Alligator mississippiensis: one gene and its partner. The protein of the gene in region 1 binds, or shares a complex with, the protein of each later gene. Links are inferred from orthologs where the notes say so. Each region holds a gene or a part of one and is shown on either strand. Other genes may lie near its edges.

Region 1 (7,564 bases):
GTGGGCTGGGGGGTGAGAGCAGGGGTGCTGGGGGCCTGGGGGCCTGGGTTTTTTGGGAAGAGAGGGGAGGCTGGGAGCCTGGACCCAGGTGCCCCCCTTGGTGGGCTTGGCCTGAAGGCTGGCTGCTGGGTTCTCTCTGGCTGCGGGAGGGCAGTGGGGGGTGAGTGGTTAGAGCTGGGTGCCTGGGAGCTGGGAGGCTGGTTCTCTCCCACTCCCACTCTGGGAAGGGAGTGGGGCCTGGGGCGCCTGGGCTCTCTCCCTGGGCTCTCCCAGGTCCTAGGCATGCTCCAGGCAGGATTAGCCTCCCCTCCCCCTCCCAGGGGCTCAGGTTCCCTTCCAGTTCCCCCCCAGGCCCTGGCGAGGGCTCAGTCAAACCTGTTCTACCAGGTGGGGGCGGGGCTGAGCCGGGTGCCCCCATGTGGGCAAGGGGGATGATACAGACGGGAGCCAGGTAAGGGCTCCCTGCCCCCCCCCCCAGCCCTGTGCCCACCTATACCCAGAGCACAGTGGGGGAGGGGGAGGGGGAGGGGGGGAGAGGCTGGGAGCCTGGATGCCTGGGTTCTCTTACACCTTGGGGAGGGGAGCAAAGTGGGGTAGGAGTGAGGGGCACTGATAGGGATGGGGGGGCAGAGGGCTGAGGGTCAGGAGTGGTGGGTACCAACAGGGCTGGGGGCAGGGGGCTGCAGGTCAGGAGTGAGGAGGGAGGAGGCAGGGGGCTGCGGGTCGAGAGTGAGGAGGGGGGAGGCAGGGGGTTGCGGGTCAGGAGTGAGGAGGGGGGAGGCAGGGGGCTGTGGGTCGGGAGTGAGGAGGGGAGAGGCAGGGAGTGAGGGGCACCGCAGGGCAAGGGGCTGCATTCCCCTACATAAAGAAGGCTTCAGCTGAACAAAGAGCAGCTCTGAGCAGAGGCCCAACAGCAGGAAGGGCAGTAGGGCAGAGTGGGCGGAGATGGCTCAGTGGGAAAGGGGGGGGCGGCTCTGGGGTGGGGCTGGGGCACAGGGCCTTGGCCCAGCTCCAACCTGCTTGCTGTATACCCCAGAGCCCAGGCCCCCGTGGGCTGGGAAACCCAGAGCCCTGTAGAGCATCCACAACCAGCGAGGGCCCCGCGGCCCCGGCTGCCTGTAGGACTCTGCTCCTCCCTGAGCCGCGATCGTGTTTCGGGTTGGGATCACACAATGGGCCCAGTGTGCAGCCCACGTTCCCAGGGGATGCCTGAGCGGTCCAGCGCCGTCTTCGCCTGGGAATTCTCCGCCCACCCGGCCAGGCCTCCAGGGCGATGGGCTCCCGGCTCCCGGCTCAGGGCTCAGACCCGTGTTGGAGGGGGAGGGGGCACGGAGGGGCTCATGGCAGAGGCAGAGCCCTGAAAGGTGGGGGTGTCAGGCCTCCAGGTATCCCACACTCCCTCTCTCTGTACCCCAAGGGCTGCCAGTCGCTCTGGTCTCAGCTGGAACTCTAGTGCCCTGGGAGGCAGCTGCATGGGGGGTAGGCAGGGAAACTCCTCATGGCCTGGCCGGCTTGGCCCATGGCCTCCAGACAGGCTCTGTGAAGTCCCATCCAGCCCAGCCCATGCCCGAGGCCCTGTCCCAACCCCCAGATGTGTCCCTGTGCTATACAACAGCCCCAGGGTGCAGCGACAGGCAGCACCTGGGTCCGAGTCCCATCTGCAGCCTGGGGCAGCCTGGAATAGAAGCAGGGAGACGCTGTGCTGCAGCCGCTGTCAAGATGGCTCCCACGCCTCTGCAGAGCTGACACCAGCAGTGCAGAGGAGGCCCCGGCCTGGCCGGTGGGGCTCAGCGCTCAGGCCCAGCCCGGCCGAGATGTCTCTGCACATCGCGGCCCCCGATCAAGGGCGGCTGAGCCAGGCTCTGATCCAGGGCTGCTCCCTGGGCTGCCCAGTGCCCAGTTCCCACATCCCGCCCACCCCTGCCTGCACCCCCAGCTCGTGACCCCTTGGGCTCCAGGCCTCCGCTGGCTCCTGCCTCTGACCCTGGGTCACGTCCTTGAGACAATGAGCTGATTCAGGGGGTGGCAGGGGAAACTGAGGCAAGGGACAAGAGGGGACATTCCCACTGGGGGGTGGCCCAGATTGGGGGTGGGGGCGCTTTTATACCAGTCTCTTATCCGCCCTGGCATGAGCCAATCCCGCGTGGCCACACATCACCACTGGCCAATCCCATGCTGGCGACCCAGGGCCACACACGCACATTCCAGCCTTATCTGGTGCTGGGCCCCAAAGCTCCTGCTGTACCTTATCTTGGGGCGGCTCCTTCCCTAGATGACAACATCCCCCCCGCCCCCCCCAGCTGCCCCCGCCAGGCACCAGTTGGACCCACAGGCAGCGTCCCACCCTCGTGATCACTAATGAAGTCATTAGCCAGCTGGGCTGAGCCCCCAGCCCGGTTAGGCAGGGCTTGCTCAAAGGCGCCCCCAGAGCTGGGTGCCCCCCAGAGCTGGTGCCCCCACACCTGTTATACTCTGCTGCCGACTCCCCACCCTAGAGCCAGTCGTGTCCCGGCACCGCCTTTCCGGTGAAGACAGAAAGCGTGTGGCTAGTGCTGGCTGGAAAGGGCTGTCCCGCTCCGCGCTGAGCACCCAGCACCCCAGGGTCCTTCCAGAGCGGGGTGTGGGGTCTTGCTTCCTGGTTTCTCTGCCCCACTGGGGCCAAAACTGCAGTCTCCACGGGGCAGGGGGCGGATGGCCTTCCCTTCCCACCCCAGGGGCTGCTTTCATCAGCCCTGGACCAGGAAGCAGGAGCTGTGGGTTCAAATTCCTGCAGAGGCTGCAATGTGGGGCATGGATGGGGCAGAGTTAAGGGCAGAAGGTGGGGCTCCAGCGCCCCCTGTGAGCTGGGGCTGCCCTGTGCCCACCCCCCTCAGAACTACAGGTCCTAGCATGCAAAGGCACTGAGGACTATGACTCCTAACAGGCAGTGGGGGTAGTGCCAAGCCCTCATTGGTGGCTCTGGCAGCTTGAAGGCTAGCCCAGGAGGTGATGTCACCGCATTGCTAAAGCACTTGTCACCTGCTGTTGGTGCTCACTGCCGGGCAGGAGGCTGGGGGAGGCAGAGGCACTCTCCCATTACCCACAACCCTTTGCATGCCTGGCTATGCCCACCCCAGCTCACACCACCCCCAGGAGCCTGTTATGCCCCCCCAGTACCCACAATCCTTTGCATATCTGGTAATGCTAACCCCCAGGAGTTTGCTACTGCCCCCCAATAGAGCCCTGAGACCCAGCGATTACCCAGGGCTTGGGAGATCCCCACGCGCCCAGTGCAGGGGGGGGGGGGCAGTTCCAGCTGTGTCCTCCCCCAGCCCTGGCTCAGGCCCAGGTCGGGTTCACCTCCTGCAGTCCACACCCTGGGGGTCTGGACTTGGGCTCTCACCCACAGGCTGGGCTGTGGGGAGGGCACCAGGGCTGGAGACCTGGCAGCTGGTTGGTGTGTGGGAGGGGGAGCAGATCAGGCTGTGCTGAGCTCTCCCTGCAGCGGGCGCTGTGGAGCCAGGGTTCTTGCCACCACGGGGTATCCCGAGGGCATGGCTGGGTCATCATCCATCCCATCACGGGAGACCTGGCTGCAGGCCCCATCCTGGCCCCGGGTGGAGGTGCTGGGGAAGTGTGACCTGAGCGCCCAGAGCCATGCCCCCTCACGCCCCTTTGCGGGAGACACAGGACTTGTGATCGTGCCTCTTGTGCGAGCTGAATGAGGCTACATGCCTGCCCCTTGCACGTGCTTGTGAGCACCTGCCTCGTGTGAGCCATGTGCGAGCAGGGCTGTGGCTCTCCCGTGCGCTCCTGATGGGGCCTGTCATGAGAGGAGAATGCAGCCAGGCGTGTGCCCCTTGCGCACGCTTGTGAGCACCTCCCTCGTGCAAGCTGGCACGAGGCTGTTGCGTGGATTTGGGAATGTGTCTCTTGCGTGAGCCGAATTTAACCAGGCGCGTGCACCTCATACACGCTGGCGAGCACCTCCCCCGTGCAAGCTGTGTGCAAACTGGCACGGAGCTCTTGCACAGACTTGTGAACACGTCTCTCGTGCCAACCGAATGCAGGAGGAGGGAGGGGGTCTGGGAATGGGGGGGCAGGAGGAGGGACAGGGTCTTGGGGGCAAGGTGGGGGGTGGGGCGGGGGTGGGGAAGGGGCTGGGTGCCCTGGGGGAGGGGAGGGGGGCATTGGGAGATGGGCAAGGATGCGGGAGGGGGCTGGGGGGATTGGGGTGGGGTTGGGCAGCGGGGGAGGGGCAGGGCTGGGCGAGTGGGAGGGGGCTGGGAGGACTGTGGGGAGGGGTTGGGCAGTGGGGGAGAGGAGGGAAGGGCGTTCGGGGGGAGGAGCAGTGGACGGGCCGTGGGATTGGGGGCGGAACCACCCCCGCACATGCGCACACGCCACGAGCCGCGGGTGGCCACCCTCCCGCCCCGTCCGCGGGGAAGCGCATGCGCGGCGGCACCCCAGCCGGCCTACAGCTCCCATCCGGCCGGGCGGCACTGCCCTTGTCCCTGACGTCATCGGCGCGCGCCCGCCGGAGGTTCTGTCGCGCACCGCCTGCGCAGTGCGTGGCGGCCGGGTCTGCGCGCGGCAAAGATGGCGGCCGAGCACCCCGAGCCGCCCGCGGCCGAGCTGCCCGCGCCGGGGCCCGCGGCCGGGCCGGGATACGCTGCCTGGGCCCCCGCCGAGCTGCAGGCCCGGCTGGCCGAGATCGGCGCCCCCACGCAGGGTCAGGAGGGGGAGGGGGTGCGGCGGGGCCCGGGGCTGCCCGGGAAGGAGGGGGAGGGGGAGGGGTTACCCCCGGGCCCCGCCGCTCTGACCCGGCCCGTGTGCGCAGGTAGCCGCGAGGAGCTGGTGGAGCGGCTGCAGACCTACACGCTGCAGGTGAGCCCCCGCCCCCGCACCTCTCCAGCACGTGAACATGGGCTGGACCCCACCTGCCCGGCAGCCTTGGCCAGGCCTGGGGGTGGGCAGCTAGGTGGGGGAAGGGGGCACGAGCCTTTCATCCCTGTAACCCAAGCCCTGACGCCTACACCTGTGCCCTTGCGCCCCTGCCCTGCCCCTCCCGGGCGGGTGGAGGAGCACAGGGAAGCCACCGTGGGCCCCCGAGACCCGTCCTGCCCCTGCTCACCCTGTGTCCTTCCCTCAGACGGGCATCGTACTGAGCAGACCGGTCCTGAGAGGAGAGGATGGCGACAAGCCTGCCCCGCCGCCGCCACGCACGGGCCCGGTAAGGAGGGTGTCGAAGCTGGGCGGGGGGGTCCCTGGCACAGATACCGACGTGGGGTGCGAAGCCTGGCCCCGTGGAGGAGCCACAGGAGGCCGTTCTGTCGCCTCGAGCCCCTCGGTTGGGTGGGGGGGCGTCATGCTGCCGGTCTGTGTGCTTGGCGCCGACCCCCCACCCAGAGCTGGCCGCATCCAAGTGAAGAGCGAGAGGCCTGAGGAGGCAGGGCATGGGACACCAAAATGAGCAGCTGTGCCAGGCATCCTGAGCCCCCCCCCACCCGTACCCCCCTTCACCTGGGCTGGCTGCATCCTGGTGAGGGGCCTTCCCGATGCTCTCCCCAGAGCCAGCGACATCCCAGTCCCAGGTGAGAGGTCCTGGACCCTCGGTCCTGATGGCCCCCACTCCCGCTTCCCCAGAGCTGGCCACAGTGTATCCTCAGACCTGGCTGTGTCCCACTGTCAAACAAGGGGTCCTGTATCCCCAGAGCCAGCTGCATCCCGGTGCTGGCTGAGGTATCCCTTTCCTAGCTGGGATGGCCACCCTAGAGCCAGCTGCATCCGAGCGAGGGGCCCTGTATGTCCAGCGCCACTGCCCACCCCAGAGTCAGCTGCATTCCAGCAATGGGGTAAGGGGACCCGAGCCCCAACTCCCTGCCTCAAGCCAGCTGCATCTCTGTTATATTCAGTCCCCAGCATCCACCCCACAGCTGGTTGCATCCTGGCAGACAGCCTGTGCTTTCCTTCTTACCTGTCTCTCTTGTTCCCTCCACAGCTCTCGGGGATCCCGATGCCCCCTCCACCGATGGGGATGCCCATGCAGCCTCCACCGCCCCCTCCCCCGCCACCAGGCATGGGCCTCAATTACTCCATGGGGGTGGGGCCACCCCCGCCACCTCCCATGGGACCTCCCCTGCGTGTCCCCAGTGTGGACCCCGTGGCCCTTTCAGAGGAGGAGCGCCTCAAGCTGGCCCAGCAGCAGGCTGCCATGATCATGCAGCAGGAAGAGCGGGCCAAGCAGGTCAGCTGGGGGCTGTGGTGTGGGGGGGTGGGCTGGGGGCTACAGGGAGCAGCTGTGGGGCTGCTGTCTTGGGTGGTTTGGAGAGGGGCATTGTTGGTCAGGAGGGCATGCGGTGGGTCTTTGGCTTGCTGGGGTGTCTGTATCTTCAGCCCTGCTCTCCTAGTCTGGAGCTGGCCACATCTTGGGGCCGGGCAAGGCGCCCTGTATCCCAAGCCCCAAAGCTTGCCACATCCCAAGTCTGGGCCTCATATCCCCAGCCCCGACACTTGCCCCAGAGCCAGCCACATCCCAGGGCTGGGCGGAGGGCCCTGTTCCCCCTGAGCTCTGGATAGGATCAGACCCAGCTGCCCTGCACTTTGGCACTGCTGTGGGCTGTGGTCTTCCATCCTGGTGCCCCCAGCCCTCTCTTCCCCCAGTATACTGGTGCCTACCCATTCATGCCTTGTTCTCTCACAGGGGGACAAGCTGAAGGAGCAGGAGTTGCTGGAGCAACAGAAGCGGGTAAGTCTCCCGCGGCATGTACTACTGGGTGGGTGGGGTAGCAGCACGGTCTCTGGCATAAATGATGCATGCCCCTGGAGACTGGGGGGGACACGGGGACTGCTTGCAGGCAGTGGGGGCATGGCAGCGAGCGGGGAGCTCCTGCAGGGGGCGGTGGCATCAGCGGTGATTGGTGACCGCCCGCAGATGCTGCTGGCAGTGTTGGTGGCAAGGGGGGTGGGTGGGGAGTGGTGACCACCCACAGGTGCCTCCGGCAGCATCAGCAGAGCTGCTTTCAGGGCGTGCACCACCAATCCCAGGTGCATGTGCACCCCCTGTGCATTACCAATGGTCTGTGGGGTCCCCTTGCCCCCTTTACCAGCCTCATCCCAGCTCTGCCATCAAGCTGTTGCCACACACTGAGGTCCTTGTCGAGACAAACCTGTACTCCGTGCGGGACAGAGATATCTGATGGTACTCAGGTGCAGAAAGAAAGCAGAATACCCTCTTTTCATATACCACATTCCCCTGGATAAGGCTGCCCCCCCCCCAGTTGCCCAGGTTACAGGTAACCTTGCAGGTTGGCTACTGATAAAAAGCAGAAATCGGTCTGCAGCTAGATATTTTTTTGCTTGCACCTGGAAACACAGAAAAACAAACGCTTATCCCTAAGTCTGGCTGGCTGCTGTGACAACACACCATAGGTGCCCACCTGTAGGGAGAATTGAGCTGGAGGGTGGCATGTAGGTTGGCAGGACTTGAATTTGCTGAGCTCTACAGGCTCCCCTTTAGCTTACGCCCCACGTCTGTAGGTGGCTGGTTCTAATATTCCAGCAAATGATCTCTGATTGGTTTTAT
Region 2 (7,735 bases), on another chromosome or scaffold:
CTGCCAAACTCACTTAGTAATAAGATCCTTTCTTAACACTCTCTTTGGATCCAAGTTATCCAACCCTGTTGTGTGTCATAACCTCTAAAAGCAAGAGCCCACAATTTACCTGACTAAACAGCCACACCATCAATACCAATGCAAGGATTTTACCTACCCTCCTTGCCCTGTCGACTGAGCTCAATGACTGACTTGTCCAGAGACAAGTAGCGATGGATATGAGCTGCTGCTTGCTCATAATCTTCATTTCGCAGAGCTGTTTGAACCCATCCATGCAGAACTTCAGGTCCAAGATGTCATCAGCTCTCTGGATGGCCTGATAGAGGCGGTTCTGCAAGAATAGCAGTTGAGATTTCCTTCACCTAGCTGGACTAGAAAAGAGAGCTATACAGAAAAGACAATATAGCCAAAGGGAAAGAAAAATGTGACCCATGGAGTAAGGGGTTACGATCACCTTGTCCCAGACAGGACTTCAAGGTCAGCAGGGTGCTGGGTGAGTAACTTGGCGTCCCTAGGTAGCTGATGACTTGAAAAAATCATGAGAATCCCAAAATTAGGTTGGAACCCAAAAAGGTACAGCATATAGAACCAGACTATAGGTCTCGCCTTTATTAGGAAAGAATAGCCTACAGAAATCACAGGGGCTACTCCGCACACTGAAATCTGCAGTCTCGTTTTACAAAGCTCCACTCCGTCTAGTTACCTTGGCAAGATCAAGCTGTCGGACTTTGCTGCTGACATTCTCAGCCAGATTCCAGGTGAAAGTGATCATCCCCGCCAACTGCCTGGCATCCCCCTCAATCAGTTGCAGGTTGGGGCTGGAAACACACATGCAGATAACAGGTGATACACAAGAAAAGCAGATCTGAAGCAGCAAGGCGTTATACGTAATCCCCCATCTTGTGCCTGCCAGCACCAGTCTTTTAACTCCTGTCAAAGAACATGACAGTGGCATGAGTTGAAAGTCAGATCCAAGAGTCTTATCTGGAAGATAGCAGCACCAAAGGGCCTATCTACCTAACATCTCTCTTACTAGCAATAAAGAGGTGAAAGGAAATACAGTAAAAGCTGTTATCCGGCATCCCCCAGGAATGCCAGGGTTAATCAAATATTCCAGTTAATCAAATGTGCACCATCTGGTGCACTCCCTGGGGTCAGTGTGCGGGGGGGGGGGGGGGGGGGGGGGGGGGGGGGGGGGGAAGGAGCGGGCCGGGCAGGCTGCTTTGCCCTGGGCCGTGTGCCAAAGAAGAGGCAAAGAAAACTCAGCTCAGGGCAGTGAAATGGGAAGTCCCCCAGAAGTGGAACTTCCAGTTTCACTTTTGCCACATCCCTTGGATGCCGGTTAATAGAGTTTTCCAGCTAATAAACTGCCGGTTAACACAGCTTTTGCTGTAGATGTATAAGTTTGTCCTTTTTTAGGGCAGGAAGTGTCATTTTGTGCTCTAGAATCCAAGCTTTTATTAAATATAAAGCTCCAAGCCTTATGATTGTAGAAATAACCTATGCATTGAACTCTGCAAATAGATTCATTTGTATATATCCAAATCTACAGACAACCTGAAACAACATATTTGAAGAGGCGCATTGTTCATATTCAGAGATGTTAGTGCTAAAGCCTAATACCAACAATACCCACTGGGAATGACAGCTCATTTTTTGACATTGTAGGAGAGCTGCAAGTATCATTACCTTCATTTATCACAGTGACTCAAAGAAAAGATTATTCTATGGCATCTTTCATGTCAAAGCACTCTTTAAAGGGAAACAGATTTACTCAGTAGTGAAAAAAAAAACAAAACACCAGCATTTGTGGTATAATGAAGCAGCTGTTGAACAACATAGGGTAACAGCATACAATAATTTAAAACTAGAAGGAAAAAATACATATGCATTTGAATCTAGGCCTTTTTCCCCCCAAGCAACCCTCCAAAATACAAAACAACTGAAGAAAAATAAAAAGCAGGGTATTGTCACTGAAGGACTGATGTGTTTACTAACCCCATGCGATGAAGAGCAACCATCTTGTTCTCTATGGTACCCTGTTGTTCCAACAGGGCCTCCAGCTCTTCTTCCACCACTTTCTGAAAAAGAAAGTGGTCCTATGTCACTTTATGACACTTTCTGGCCAATCACTAATGTCACTAGCTTAGAAGCAAACCCTCAACATCAATGTAGGAGTACACACCAAGGAGGGCTTCTGAAAACTCAGCTAATAACACAGTCTGTCAAAAGCCCCAGTGTTCCATCTTAATCTGGTTACATTTACACTCCAGTCTAATTTCAAGGGTCAGTTTTGAAACCTCTATCATGCAATGTTAAAATAAATCCATTCCTACATTGCCTCTCCATACCGAAGATGTTCCTGGCTTAACTGTCTATAAGAAAAGATCAGAGTACAATAGTATGCTCCAAAGTTAAAAAAAAATGTGAATGTTGCATAGGCAGGATAGTCAGTCTGTCAAGGTTGAGGGCAGGAAGCCTGTAAACCTCTGTACCAATCTCTTATGGCCAGCTAATGAAGCTCTAGCAGAGACATCTAACTTTTCTTGTTAGATGCTTTGCCATTATGACACAGGGAAGGGGAGGAGAGGGGTACTCCACCTTTTGGCCCCCCAGGCCAGATGAGTGACCCCACCCTCATGCCCCACATGCTGGGACTGGGTCCTGAGAGGCCAGTGCTGTCCCCTTTCACCTCCTGCACACTGGGATCGAGTCTCAGGGGGCTGGCACAATCCCCTGCATACCAGGATTGGGTCCTGGGAGCCCAGCACTGTTCCCTCCCACACCCATGAGCCAGGATTGAGTCCTGTTGGCCCAGCACCACCCTGTCCAAGCCCCCCACACTGGGATTAGACCCTGGGACTGGCACACCCTCTGGCCTGCTATGTGTGCTGGGATCAGGCACTGGATCTAGCACACAGGGCCTGGGGCTCTTCGTGGCTCCAAAAATGTGGCTGCAGGGGAGTGGTACCAGCATTCCCCTACCACCAAGTTTCCAGACCTGTGGGGAGCCCCAGAGACCAAATGACATAGTGCCATGGGCCACATCTGGCCCACACTCTTTCTTTATGTTATCTCACCAAGTTATACCCAAATGCTTTTCTGAACCAGGAAATGGATGGAATTGTGGTCCTCCCTATATTCTAACACACAAGAACAGTCCTGGTAAGTTGTTTTACTTCCGTTTGTTTTCACAAGCAAAACAGGTGGTCTTGTTTTCACAGGAGGACAAAACTGGATTTGCACTGAGTGAGGCATCAGCTTGCTTGTTTGTACTGAAAAACCATAAATGTGGTGAGGGTCTCTTTCTGATGTCTCTTCTTTCCCCTGTATGTTGGGCTTTTTTTCCCTCCAAAACCTTCACTCCAAGAGTTGTTTGCATACAAGGCTTAATGGCAAGTAACAGCAATTAATTTAAATTAACCCTGGCTGGTCCAAGAGTGGAAACAGATGCCATCTGATTTCCCATTTGTATCACCTTCAAATTTTTTAAGGCAGTATAAATGCAGAATAGACATCCTTGCCCTTTTTTGCACCACCTAATAAGAGAATCAGTGACACAACAAAAGGGAGTAACAGACTCTGCTGCTTCATTGCGGTGGGCACCTCTTACCTTGTGGCACTTACCTTGCTTGGGGCTGACTGGCCAGGGAAAGCCTCTCCTTTCCCCACTGCCCCAGACCTGCACTGTGGGTTTGGGGCAGCAGGGAAAAGTGCTTCCCTGCATAACCAGACCCTGAGGTTAACTGAGCTGGGGAAATCCCAGCTTTCTCTGCTGCTCCACACCCATTCAGTGGGTCTGGGGCAGCAGGAAGTGCTTCTAGTCAGCCAGCCCTGACAGGCCCTTCAGAGCTGTCTGGACAGGGGAAGACCTGGCACTGCTGCTGCTCTAGACTCACGCTGAGCAACGCAATGCGGGTTTTGCCCAATGAAGTGAACGGTGACTAAGCTGTGTGGCACAGCTGAATCACTCCACTCTGCCACTTCTAATTCCAGCCCAAGACAAGGGGTTCATTTGGATGCTTCGCACAGGCTGTAAGGTCTGGGGTCTGCTACAAGATGAGCTAAACCCAAACAGACCAAACCTGGCATCTATTTTTAACCAAAGGTTTAAAACAAATTCTGCCGGGACAAAGTCTTGTATCCCAGGACCCTGCACATGAACAAGTCCATGTCCCACTGAGAGTGCCCGCAAAGCTCCAAGATAACGCTTCTACTCCCAGGACAATTGGAGCTAAATTGGCTAAAATCAGATGGCTGCTGGCTGAGCGTGGCGGCCTCCCGGGGCCCTAGGAACGGACCAGCTCGCTGTCCCGCACGAAGCACGGGCGCAGGATCCGACCGGACGCTTCGCCTCGCGGCTGGAACCGAGCGCGCTGCGTCCGAGCTGCCCCGCGCCCGCCGGGGGCGACCCCAGCCCGGCACCAGCTTCCAGCCCAGTTTCAGGAGAAGCCCAAACGGGGCGGCGCAGAAGGCGCAGCCGGCCCGGCCCCACCTCCTCTGCGCACAGGCGGCCATAGGCGGCCTCCAGCTCCCGCAGGTCGGTAAGCGCCCGGATCCGCTCCATGGACAAGCACGAGCTGCCGCCGTCCGCGCCCGGCGCCCTCAGGGCCCCGCCAGCAGCCGCAGCCATCCTTGCCCAGGGACGTCACTTCCGAGAAATCAAAAGCCCCAGCGGGGTCTGAGCGGTCGTTGGGGCTGCTGCCCAAGGTGCCTGAGGGACACGCAGCCTTCTCAGGTTTGGCTTGGCCGAGCGAGCGTCCCCAGGCAGGAGCGGGGGGGGGGAGACGTCGTGGTTGCGGCGGGGTCAGAGCCGGGCGGAAGATGCCCACGGGGTCCTTTCATCGGTGAGGTCAGGCGATCCGAGGGCAGCCCCGTGTCGCTCGCGTCGGGTGAGGAAGGCCCCGGCGGGGGGCGGGGCGGCAGAGCGCGCGCACAGGGCTCATGGCGCAGCGGCTCTGCGGGCTCGCGGCCTAGGGGAGACGCGCGGCCGCCATCTGTTGCCATCCGCCCGGTAGGAGCCGCCGCTTGCCGCCATCTCGCGTCAGGCCGGGCAGCGCGGGCCGGGCTCGGTTTCGGTACTGTTTCCTCCTGCGCCGGCATCAGCGAAGGCTGCGGCGCGGCCTGGGCGGGAAGGGGCGGCGGGGTTGCCTTCTCCGGCCTGGCGGCCCCCGGACGCCTTAACTGCGCTCCGCTGGGGCTGCCCTGATCCCGCCGCGCCTCTGCGCCCTTCGTGCGGCTCCGGGACCCTCCCCCGCGTGCGGGTCGCGGCCTCCGCGTGCCCCGGCGCCGCGTTCCCAGGGAGGAGGTGCGCGGCTTAGTAGAGACCTGTTCCGAGGCCGGCTCCTCTGATCCCACGGAGGATTTTAGGGGCGCAGTTGCGTAGGCAGTTTTTGGGGGCCGCTGTCACTGTCGTACCAGTCTCTGGGGGAAGCATCTGCTCGGGCAGGGAGGTTTCACTGCTTGTGGGGAAGTGTGGCTGAGGGCTCGGGAGGGGGGGAAACATGTCCAGGGCAGCCTAGAAATCTTTCTCCACTTTTTTTCCATATAATCTTATTAAGGGCATTGTGTGACACAGACAATGGACCTGCAGACTGAAGTGGACCTGCTTTATTTGTTTGGTGTTGTCCTCTTTGTTCCTCAGCTTCTGAGCATGTCTTTCATACAGGGTTTCCCTGATTCCATTGTTTAATTGCCAGCCACACCTTTCATTGCACTGCTTCAGGCTCTGAAGAGTAGGCAGAATGAAGTACTTCAAGCTATGGTTTGTAGTGTTGTAATCCCCTTCCCCCCCCTCCCATTTTAATTAAGAGCAAACTTTACTAGTGAGCACAGCAGTTTGCCTGTTCATGGAGGAGGAGGAGGTTGTGCTGTATTGCTGGCTCTGTCCTGGGTTGTAATCCGCAACTCATCCCTCTTGTACAGGCAAGGCTATTAACGTTGATGAGACTAAAAGTGAAACCTTGCTTTATTATTCCTTCTTGTCAGCTCTTTCAGATAAATTACTGCAAAGTAAGAGCTCACTTTGTCACTAACCTTCTGGGTTAAACCCTCACAAGTAGGGCTAAATGGAATTAAAGTAAACAGGGATCCAGGACTGATAAACCATTATAACACTGTTTGGAAGACCATAGCAGCAGACCATCATAGCCTATGCAGTATGGGCTTGTTGCACACATTCATGTGCCTGCAAAACCTGATACCTTGACTCTATCATAAAAGTGAAATGAAAATTGCATCTATACAAAAAATGACTTTAAGCATGTATTTCTATGTTAAATTAGAACATTTAGCATGAACCCTTGTATATGGCTGTAAGGGATGGAAATATGTAAAGCTGACATGCATTGTTCATTTACAAATGAATTAAATAACATTTTTCAGAAGCATTGTAAGACATTCGTGCAGACTTAGCAGACAAGATTAAGCTGCTGGCACTTTTCTGTTATATTGAAATAATGTGAAAGTAAGCACTAAATAGATGCAACCTGTTTTGCAATTGGATGTATTCCTGATTTCTAGCTATTTTGTTTATTTGCAGTGGACTCCATAATAAAGCTGAAACATACGCAGTGAAGTAGATTTATCGCCACCATGTTTCTTTACAACTTAACCTTGCAGCGAGCCACTGGCATCAGCTATGCCATCCATGGTAATTTTTCAGGTAATGTCTGTTGTCCTGACTGTCTTTTTGTTACAAGTTACTTAAATATAACATTAGTTTTTCACTGACGTTTTGCTCTTGTGCTATTAGCTGGGTTGACTGACATGTTCAAATTGAGGGAGAGATCTGGTCTTGAGAACTTCCAGGAACTTTAGTAATTCGAGGCCTTGTCTTCACTGACTTGGGTGGCTTTAGTTAAGTCACTTTGCTCTTTGTGCCTCAGTGTTCCTGTCTGTAGAATAGACAGCCAAACACTGAAATATCTGGTCATTAATGATTCTAAGTGGCTTTGACTTTCTCTCCTATAAAGTATCAGGTTTGTAACAGTATTAGTATTGTAACATTGGTCTTGTCCTTGCTTGATTCTTCCACTTGCTTATGTTGATTATTGATTTTTCTCATGGCTTTGGCTTCTTAGGAACAAAGCAACAGGAAATAGTTGTTTCACGAGGGAAGATCCTGGAATTGCTCCGCCCTGATCCTAACACAGGGAAGGTTCATACCTTGCTGACTGTGGAAGTGTTTGGAGTCATTCGTTCCCTCATGGCCTTCAGGCTGACAGGTGGAACCAAAGACTACATTGTGGTTGGCAGTGATTCAGGGCGCATTGTTATCCTAGAGTACCAACCCTCCAAGAATGTGTTTGAAAAGATCCATCAGGAAACCTTTGGCAAAAGTGGCTGTCGCAGAATTGTTCCTGGTCAATACTTGGCTGTGGATCCCAAGGGTCGTGCTGTTATGATTAGTAAGTCAATCTAGGGATCTGGTTGCAGCATTTTAAAGGATTGAATGGTGGAAACAACATCCTTGAAATTATTAACTTGTGTTGTCCTTACCTCAAGGAAGATAGCTTTTGCACCATACTTTGTCAGCTGCAGCAGCAAGTATGCCTTGCAGGCAGTTTTCTAGATTTCCAAATTTTGCCATCAAAGATCCAGATGTTTAGAATTGTTCCTGCCTGTAACCATGATTGCACAAATGAATTCTAAAATTAGGCCAATAAGATTTTGAGAAGAATCTTGTTTAGCAATAAATAGTAAAACTGTTTTGAGGGTGACATTTGGAAAAAGG

The links. The genes of interacting proteins can lie anywhere in the genome.
Region 2: SF3B2 (region 1) and SF3B3 share a complex: the UniProt entries of both Homo sapiens proteins name them as parts of the SF3B subcomplex of the 17S U2 SnRNP complex. The link is inferred for Alligator mississippiensis from reciprocal best matches to the Homo sapiens genes SF3B2 and SF3B3.

What each region holds. Positions count from the first base shown.
Region 1 is NC_081838.1:5,518,952-5,526,515, reverse strand, and holds the start of SF3B2 (splicing factor 3B subunit 2), read left to right. Parts: upstream 1-4,555; 5' UTR 4,556-4,578; coding exon 4,579-4,711; intron 4,712-4,819; coding exon 4,820-4,866; intron 4,867-5,131; coding exon 5,132-5,212; intron 5,213-5,980; coding exon 5,981-6,226; intron 6,227-6,682; coding exon 6,683-6,727; intron 6,728-7,564. UniProt on the Homo sapiens protein: Component of the 17S U2 SnRNP complex of the spliceosome, a large ribonucleoprotein complex that removes introns from transcribed pre-mRNAs.
Region 2 is NC_081833.1:36,190,242-36,197,976, forward strand, and holds the start of SF3B3 (splicing factor 3B subunit 3), read left to right. Parts: upstream 1-4,662; 5' UTR 4,663-4,738; intron 4,739-4,905; exon of another isoform or gene 4,906-5,014; intron 5,015-5,059; exon of another isoform or gene 5,060-5,078; intron 5,079-5,673; exon of another isoform or gene 5,674-5,764; intron 5,765-6,541; 5' UTR 6,542-6,594; coding exon 6,595-6,664; intron 6,665-7,082; coding exon 7,083-7,409; intron 7,410-7,735. UniProt on the Homo sapiens protein: Component of the 17S U2 SnRNP complex of the spliceosome, a large ribonucleoprotein complex that removes introns from transcribed pre-mRNAs.